2 linked regions of the Sus scrofa genome follow. The protein of the gene in region 1 binds, or shares a complex with, the protein of each later gene. Links are inferred from orthologs where the notes say so. Each region holds a gene or a part of one and is shown on either strand. Other genes may lie near its edges. The genes, in order: COQ7 and COQ4.

What was found.
Region 2: COQ7 (region 1) and COQ4 share a complex: the UniProt entries of both Homo sapiens proteins name them as parts of the multi-subunit COQ enzyme complex. The link is inferred for Sus scrofa from reciprocal best matches to the Homo sapiens genes COQ7 and COQ4.

What each region holds. Positions count from the first base shown.
Region 1 is NC_010445.4:26,364,379-26,368,946, forward strand, and holds the start of COQ7 (5-demethoxyubiquinone hydroxylase, mitochondrial), read left to right. Parts: upstream 1-1,627; 5' UTR 1,628-1,692; coding exon 1,693-1,765; intron 1,766-1,877; exon of another isoform or gene 1,878-2,097; coding exon of another isoform or gene 2,098-2,101; intron 2,102-2,476; exon of another isoform or gene 2,477-2,501; intron 2,502-4,568. UniProt on the Homo sapiens protein: Catalyzes the hydroxylation of the 5-methoxy-2-methyl-3-(all-trans-polyprenyl)benzoquinone at the C6 position and participates in the biosynthesis of ubiquinone.
Region 2 is NC_010443.5:268,763,024-268,766,837, reverse strand, and holds part of COQ4 (ubiquinone biosynthesis protein COQ4 homolog, mitochondrial), read right to left. Parts: intron 613-3,814; coding exon 483-612; intron 1-482. UniProt on the Homo sapiens protein: Lyase that catalyzes the C1-decarboxylation of 4-hydroxy-3-methoxy-5-(all-trans-decaprenyl)benzoic acid into 2-methoxy-6-(all-trans-decaprenyl)phenol during ubiquinone biosynthesis.

The sequences.
Region 1 (4,568 bases):
AGTTGCTGTGGCTGTGGTGTAGGGTGGCAACTATAGCTCCAATTTGACCCCCCACCTGGGAACTTCCATATGCCAAGGGTGTGGCCCTAGAGAGACAAATAAAATAATAAAAAGTTATATAAGAGTTGATCATAAACTATTAAATTCCTGCACTGTATTAAAGTAATTTGAAAACAATTAGCAACTTCAATTACTTTACAATGGCAGTGTATGTTAAATGTGGGGATTTTTTGGCCCCACCCATGCCCAAGGCATGCAGAAATTCCTGAGCTAGGGATGGCATCCACACTACAGCAGTCGGCAGTGACAACATGGATCCTTGAACCACTAAGCCACTTGGGAACGCCTTAAATGTTTTGCAATAACTTGGATAAAAGATACATATAATCCAAAGGTGTAAAGTAGAACATGAAAGCCCCCTTCTCACCTCCAACCCTCTGAAGTTACCATTACTGGACATTTTGTTATACATCCTTCCAGATGTGCATCTTTGATTTTTTTTGGCCCTCATACAGATTACACATTCAAAAAATTATTTCTGTTCAATAGAGTTGTAGAAGGAGGATTGCTATATCAATGGATATGCATTTATTAAAATGTCCACCAAAATTTTTTCTTAGTTTATTTTCTTAGAGCAGTTTTAGGTTCACAGCAAAAGTGAGGAAAGTAGATTTCCTATATACCCTCTGCTGCCACATTCCCCCAGAGTGCTACGGTTTGTTACAATTGATGAGTCTACATTAACAGACCGGATATAGTTTTGATTTCAGTTCCAGAGCAGGAGTTGAATCCTGGGCCGCAGTGGTGAGAGCCAGGAGTCCCAACAACTAGACCACCAGGGAACTGGTGAATAACTTTTAGAAGTGTGAAATACGTGGAGTTCTTGCTGTGGCTCAACGGTATTGATATCTGCAGTGCCAGGACTCAGGTTCAATCCCCAGCCTGGCATAGTGGGTTAAAGGACCTGGCATTACCACAGCTGCAACAAAGGTCGCCACTGCCACCCGGATCTGATCGCTGGCCCGGGAGCGCTAATATACTGTGTGGCGGCCAAAAGAAAAAAAAAAAAATTATGAAATACGTTGCTAAATCTCACCTCCCCAGCCCTCTCGTCAAGAAACCAATTTGCATCAATACGTTCACACTAACAGTAAAGTGGATATAATAATATTAATAATGTTCTTTGTAGAAAATTTAAAAAATAGAGAAAAGGGCTAAGAAGAAATTTAAAATCGTCTGTCAACCCCCAAAATACCTGGAGATACCATGCAGTGAACTGAATTCCAGAATGTAATTTCTGGAAGTGGATAAAGGCTACAAATAGAGAAAAGTCTCCTATGCTGGTAAAGCATAAAATATGATGGCTATGCCAGTAAATAATTCCCTCACGGTCCTCTTTCCCAGGAACGGAGGTTAGGTAGTAATCCTGTCGCTATCTTCTAAAGAACAATTTAGCGTTCTCATCTCCATGGCAACCCTTCACCGGGCTCCTGAGTGATTGATAATGGTCAGATCCAATAGGATCTTTCCATTTGACACTCCCAACCAATCGAGTGGAAGCTGGGCGCTTAGGGGCGTTTCCACCTACGCAGAGGCGGGCTGCATCTGCCTTACGCCAGCTGTACGTCATCAGTCAGTGCCGAGGGCAAGTTGGGCTCACTATTCAAGGAGTGGGTACCCTGTTGCGGGGCCATGAGCTACGCCGGGGCAGTGGCGGCTCGCTGCTTGTGGCTTCCGCGCACGGGGGCCCCGCGGCCCCTTTCAGGTAAAGTGTGAGAGCGATGGCTGCCCCGCGCTGGGCTGGCGAGCAATGAACTTTTCTCCTGAGGTTTGGGTCGGAGAGGTCACGGCGTAGACGTTTATACGTCACGGGACTGCGACCGAGCGCGAGCGGAAAAGCAGGGCTAGGCTTGTAATGTGTCGCCGGCCCGCTGGGCGGGAAGAGAGTGGTTTTCTGATGTGACGCTCTGTGGTGCCGGTTCCGGGTTAGCGGGTTGGGGGAATGACCTAATTGCACACCTGTTCTCTGACGTCACTGCAGGTGTGGTCGGCGTTCCAGGCTGAGCAAAGTTGGCGACCTTGAAAATTTAGCGTCCCATGGGTGGGTGTATTCCCATAATCCGCAGCGTCGGCTTCTTCCCAGCTCCCCAAGGGAGCTTGGTAGAAATGCGGTTTCTCAGGTCCCTCGCCTGACCTACTGAGTCGCCATGTCTGTATTTTAACTAGCCCTTCGAATGCTTCGTATGCATTTGCATATTTTGAGAAGCACGAAATTGGTGGAGCATCGAGAGAGACTTGGGCTTGGATCCTGGCTCCTCTCCTCATTTCGTCCCAGCGGCCTCAAAATTGTGAGGTCGTTTTCTGGAAGTTAAGTCATTCGTCTACCACCTTCAGGATGGTTGCATTATCGCAGTACCACTTGTATTTTTTATCACTTTTTAAAAAATTAAACCGTGTTCTGTTTTTAAATTAAATGATTTCACGGAAACCCTATCTTTACGGTAAGCGGAGAACCAGGATCGCACGTCCCAAGTAAAGTACTTGTAAAAAAAATAAATACGCTGAACACAAGTTGTTGTATTAGATACTGCTGCCTACCAAGGCTTGAACCTGTCTTTCTGGTAAGAATGGGAGGTTAACAAGCGTTAGGAAGTGTTCAAGTTATGTCACCTTTACAGCCTCGTTGATGAAAGCAAAAGGATTGGAAGAGAATAACTAAATAACATGAGTGTTATTTAATGCATGTGCATAGCCACTTAAGATCGTCCCATAAACCATTTGAAGTCACACATCGTTGATATGTGTTTCACATTTTGGGAAAACACGAATATAAAATGATGCATTTGAGAGCTTCTAGCAGTGAGCCTCAGTTTTATTTTTAAGTGTGTGAGTGCAGGCAAAACCCAGAGGATTGTTGAACATGAATTTTAATGCTCTGTTGTTGAGCCAATGACAGAATTCTTCTTCTTTTTTTCCATTTTTAAAAGTATTGATTTATAATGTTGTGATTCTTTTTCATTTATAAAGCTACTTTGCTTCCTGTATCTCATTTTGTCTCCATGATAACTCAGTAAGAAAGGTTTTATTATTGTGTTTTCCCTTAAAAAGAAAATAACCTGATTGGTCCTAATTTTATATGTAAGAAATGGCAATTCCAAATTGTCTAAGGTCTGTGTTAGAGATAGGATATGTATTTTCTGTTTTTTTTAATTTGAAATTTTTAAAATTGGAAGTTTAGTTGGTTTACAGCGTTGTGTTAGTTTCCGGTGTACAGCAAAGCGATTCAATTTGCTGTATATCTGAAATTAACACAACGCTGTAAACCAACTATATCTTATACACGTATCTATATTTCAGATTCTTTTCCCTTATAGGTTATTACAAAATATTGAATATAGTTCCCTGTGCTATACAGTAGGTTATCATTGGTTATCTGTCTTATATATACTAGAGTGTATATGTTAATCCCAAACTCCCAATTTATCCCTCCCCCAGCCCCTTTCCCCTTTGGTAACTATAGGTTTGTTTTCTGTCTGTGAGTCTGTTTCTTAAATAAGTTCATTTGTGTCACATTTTAGATTTTGTATGTAAGTGCAAGCATATGATCTGCCTCTCTTTCTGACTTCACTTACATGATAATCTCTAAATCCATTCATGTTGCTGCAAATGGCATTATTTCACTTTTTAATGGCTGAGTAATATTCCATGGTATATATGTACTACATCTTTATCTATTCCTCTGGCAATGGACATTGAGTTTTTTCATGTCTCAGCTGTTGAAAATAGTGCTGCTATGAACATAGAGGTGCATGTGCATGTATGTGTGTATGTTTATATATATGTATGTATATATTTTGTCTTTTTAGGGCCACACCTGTGGTATATGGAACTTCCCAGGCTAGGGGTCTAATTGGGGCTGCAGCTGCCGGCCTACACCACATCCACAGCAATGCCAGATATGAGCTGCATCTGCAACCTGCACTGCAGCTCATGAGTACCACCGGATCCTTAACCCACTGAGTGAGGCCAGGGATCGAACCCACATCTTCATGGTTACTAGTTGGCTTCATTACCGCTGAGCCGTGATGGGGACTCCCACATGCATCTTTTTGGATTAGAGTTTTGGTGGACATTTTAATAAATGCATATCCATTGATATAGCAATCCTCCTTCTACAACTCTATTGAACAGAAATAATTTTTTGAATGTGTAATCTGTATGAGGGCCAAAAAAAATCAAAGATGCACATCTGGAAGGATGTATAACAAAATGTCCAGTAATGGTAACTTCAGAGGGTTGGAGGTGAGAAGGGGGCTTTCATGTTCTACTTTACACCTTTGGATTATATGTATCTTTTATCCAAGTTATTGCAAAACATTTAAGGCGTTCCCAAGTGGCTTAGTGGTTCAAGGATCCATGTTGTCACTGCCGACTGCTGTAGTGTGGATGCCATCCCTAGCTCAGGAATTTCTGCATGCCTTGGGCATGGGTGGGGCCAAAAAATCCCCACATTTAACATACACTGCCATTGTAAAGTAATTGAAGTTTCTGGAGTTCCCATCGTGGTG
Region 2 (3,814 bases), on another chromosome or scaffold:
ACCGGGAGGCATCTGCTTCCCTCCAACCTCTACCGGGGGTCAGCAGTGCCCAGTCCCGGCCTGTGCTGGGACCAGGGGCACTTGGCTTGCGGTTGGGAAGAGGGTCCAAGAAAGAGCAGAAGGAAATACGGGCTGGAAAGGGCAGCTCGGGTCAGAATGCAGAGGATCCCAAAAGCCATGGGGAGGAGCCCAGGCCTTAGGGAACCAGTGAGGGCTTCAGAGCTTGGAGCTAATAACCAGGACACGGCAGGGAGCCCTGCTGTTAGGATGTAGCTACGGCCACGTAGGAGCCAGAGAGGCAGTGAGGATGCAGGGCAGAGGCACCCAGGTATTCAGGTAAAGCAAGAAACGGGGCACCGAGCCTGCTAATGGGTGGGTGGCTGAGACAGGTGAGCCCTGCCCTGGCCCTGCAGACAGACCCGGGAGCAGGCTAGCTGGAGCGCCCCACCCCGACCCGGATCCCCGCCACGGCTGGCACTCACCCGGGATGTTGGTGGGCATCCCCAGCAGAGTGTGGACCATGTCGTGCACTTCCCGGTACCGCTGGATCACGTACGCCAGCTCCTCGTCATCCACGAATCGCGTCGGTGCTCGGGTGTCTGGGGAGACCCTCTGACAACCATGAACCTCTCCTAGACCCCTTCTGGATGGTTCCCAGCATCCAACTGCCAGCCTCTCCTGGACCCTCTCACCCATGCCTACCAAATGCACATGGAACCCACCAAAAATCCCTGGAAACTCTTTCTGTCCACACATGCGGATGGGTGTATTCTCAGGCAGGAAGATGGTGAACTGGCATCCCCCCCACCCCGCCCCCAACTCACATATGATGTACACTGGCAATCTATGGCAAAGAAACCTCTGCGAGGGGGGGAGAGAGGGAATTATTTAATGGTATAGAATTTCAGTTTTATAAGATGAAAAGGCTCTGGAGACTGGTTTCACAGCAATGTGCTGTGTTAAGTAAGCTTAACCCTCCCGAACTGCCCATTTAGAAGTGGTTAAGATAGTAACCACTTTTAAAAACCCCAGTTAGAAATAAAACGGGGAACTTCCCTGATGACCTAGCCGGTTAAAGATCTGGTGTCGTTACTGCTTTTGCTTGGGTTGCTGCTATGGTGTGGATTCAATCCCTGGTCCAGGAACTTCTGCATGCCCGTGTATAGACCAAAATTAATAATAATAATAATAATAATGATAATAATAATAATAATGAAACAAAACTGATCAATAAAAAAGAAAATAAATTAAATTGGGGGAAAAAAAGGAGCACCCAAGGCCCCTAATTCTTTCTTCTTTTTAGGGCCACACCCACTGCATATGTAATTTCTCAGGCTAGGGGTCCAATCAGAGCTATAGCTGCCGGCCTACGCCACAGCCACAGCCACACAGGACCCAAGCCGCATCTGCGACCTACACCACAGCTCATGGCAACATCAGATCCTTAACCCACTGAGTGAGGCCAGGGATCGAACCCGTGTCCTCATGGACACTAGTCGGATTTGTTAACTGCTGAGCCACAACAGGAACTCCGCCCCTAATTCTTCAGATGAGCTGCTCCTTCCCAGCACCCTTATCTTCACCTTGACCATGCCTATCTTATCCTTTATGACCGGGCTGACGTGTCCCCTCTGCAGGGAGGCTGTCCCACCTTCAGACAGACCAGGTCCATGTTACGGTCCCTGCTGGCATCCTGTACTTTGTGTGGTGTTCAAGGCGATTGCATTGTGAGGTTTAGCACACGTGGCTGTCAGTGTCTCTCCTGCAGCCCTGCACTGTCCAGCAGCCCATCACGGCAGCCACTGAGGCTTAAAACAGCACAAATGCCAATTGAGGTGTGGTCTACATGTAAAATAATACACTGGATTTCGAAGACTTGGTATGGATAGAGCTATTGTGAAACCTTGGTAATTTAAAAACATTGGGGAGTTCCTGCTGTGGTACAGCTGGTTAAGGACCCCACATTGTCTCTGCAGTGGCTGGCGTCACTGCTGAGGTGCAGGTTTGACCCCTGTCCTGGTGCAGTGGGTTAAGGATTCACCGTTGCCAGATCTTTGGCTCAGATTTGATCCCTGGGTGCAGGAACTTCCATGTACTGTGGGGGCAGCTGGAAAAAAAAAACTGATTACAGGTTGAAATGATATTTAGTACATTGATTGGGTTAAACAAACTGTGTTACTAAAATTGTTTCTTTTTGCTTTTATTAAAGTGGCTAGCAGCCGATTTTAAACTACCTCTGAGGCTTGGATGCTACTGCAATGAACACTATGGCAGCAGCCTGTCAGAAGCACAGGACCAGGCTGACTGTTTTGCCCACTGTTGTATCTGAAGGGCCTTGGTGAATAAACACCTCTTTTTTTTAATGGCTGACAAGTGCCCATTGATCGAGGCCAGGGATTGAACCCGAAATCTCATAGCTCCTAGTCGGATTCATTTCTACTGCACCACGACGGGAACTCCCAGGGACTGAATGTGAGCCATAGATTTGACCTATGCCGCAGCTGCTGCAATGCTGTAACCTTTAATCCACTGTGCTGGGCTGGACCAAACCCACATCTTCACAACCTCCAGAGCTGCTGCAGTCAGGTTCTTAACCCACTGCCCACAGCAGGAACTCCTAAACATCTTTTTTTGTTTTGTTTGTTTTTGGAAGTTCCTGGGCCAGGGCCCGAACCTGTGCCACAGTAGTGACTGGAGCTGCTACAGTGACAATGCCAGATCCTTAACTCACTAAGCCACAAGAGAACTCCCATTATCCATCTATCTTTCTTTCCCTTGTTCTTTCTTTTTCTTGTTTTTTCTTTTTTTTTTTTTTTTTTGCTTTTTAGGGCCTTGCCTGAGGCACATGGGAATTCCCAGACTAGGGGTTGAATCACAGCCACGTCTGCAACCTACACGACAGCTCACGGCAACACCAGACCCTTAACCCACTGAGTGAGGCCAGGGATCGAACCTGCGTCCTCAGGGATACTAGTCGGATTGTTTCTGCTGCACCGCAACAGGAACTCCCCCATCACCTTGTAACTGCATGTGTAAACGGCGAGCAACCAATGCTTTTCTGACCCCAGGCAGGGACGACAACAGTCTTCCTCCTACCCACCCACCGCCTCTCTGAGTCTCAGAAGACCCCTGCAGAGTCGGGACAGCCTGGTTTTCCTACTGCTAAAGCCCAGCCTCAGCCTGTCCAAGGCCAAGGGATTTGATGCTTTTATTGTTTGGGGCTGCTGGCTCGTGCCATGGTCTGTGTGTGACGTTACTGGGTCCCTGGTCCCAATTTCCTCTACAGAGTTCTACCTGCTGTGAAGCTGAAGGTGATCAGTGATGGCCGACACTTCCCAAGTCCCTGCTCTGTGCCAGAATGAAGTCCTTTACACATATTGGCATCTTGCATCTTTCACCATCGAGGGGTAGATACTGTTAAGACCCTCAGGGACCAATCAGAAAAATGAGGCTCAGAGAGATAAGGCAGTGTACCCAAGATCGGACTCTGAGACAAGCCTGCTGAATCCCAAAGCCAGCAGCCTTAACATCCATTAGTCATCAGCCAGATAAGTGCCTGGGAAGATAAACATTAGGTTTCCTAATCTCAGAGAAGGGGTCTGAGGCTCAGAGGTCAAATGATTTGCCCAGGGCATTAAAGCTGGGGAGAGAGGCAGATCCTAACTCAGCCTTTTTTTTTTTTTCCTTTATAGGGCCATATGGAAGTTCCCAGGCGTGGGGTTGAATCAGAGCTGCAGGCCTGTACCACGGCCACAGCAATGGCAGATCCGAGCCACATCTGCGACCTACACGGCAGTCTGCAGCACCATCGGAT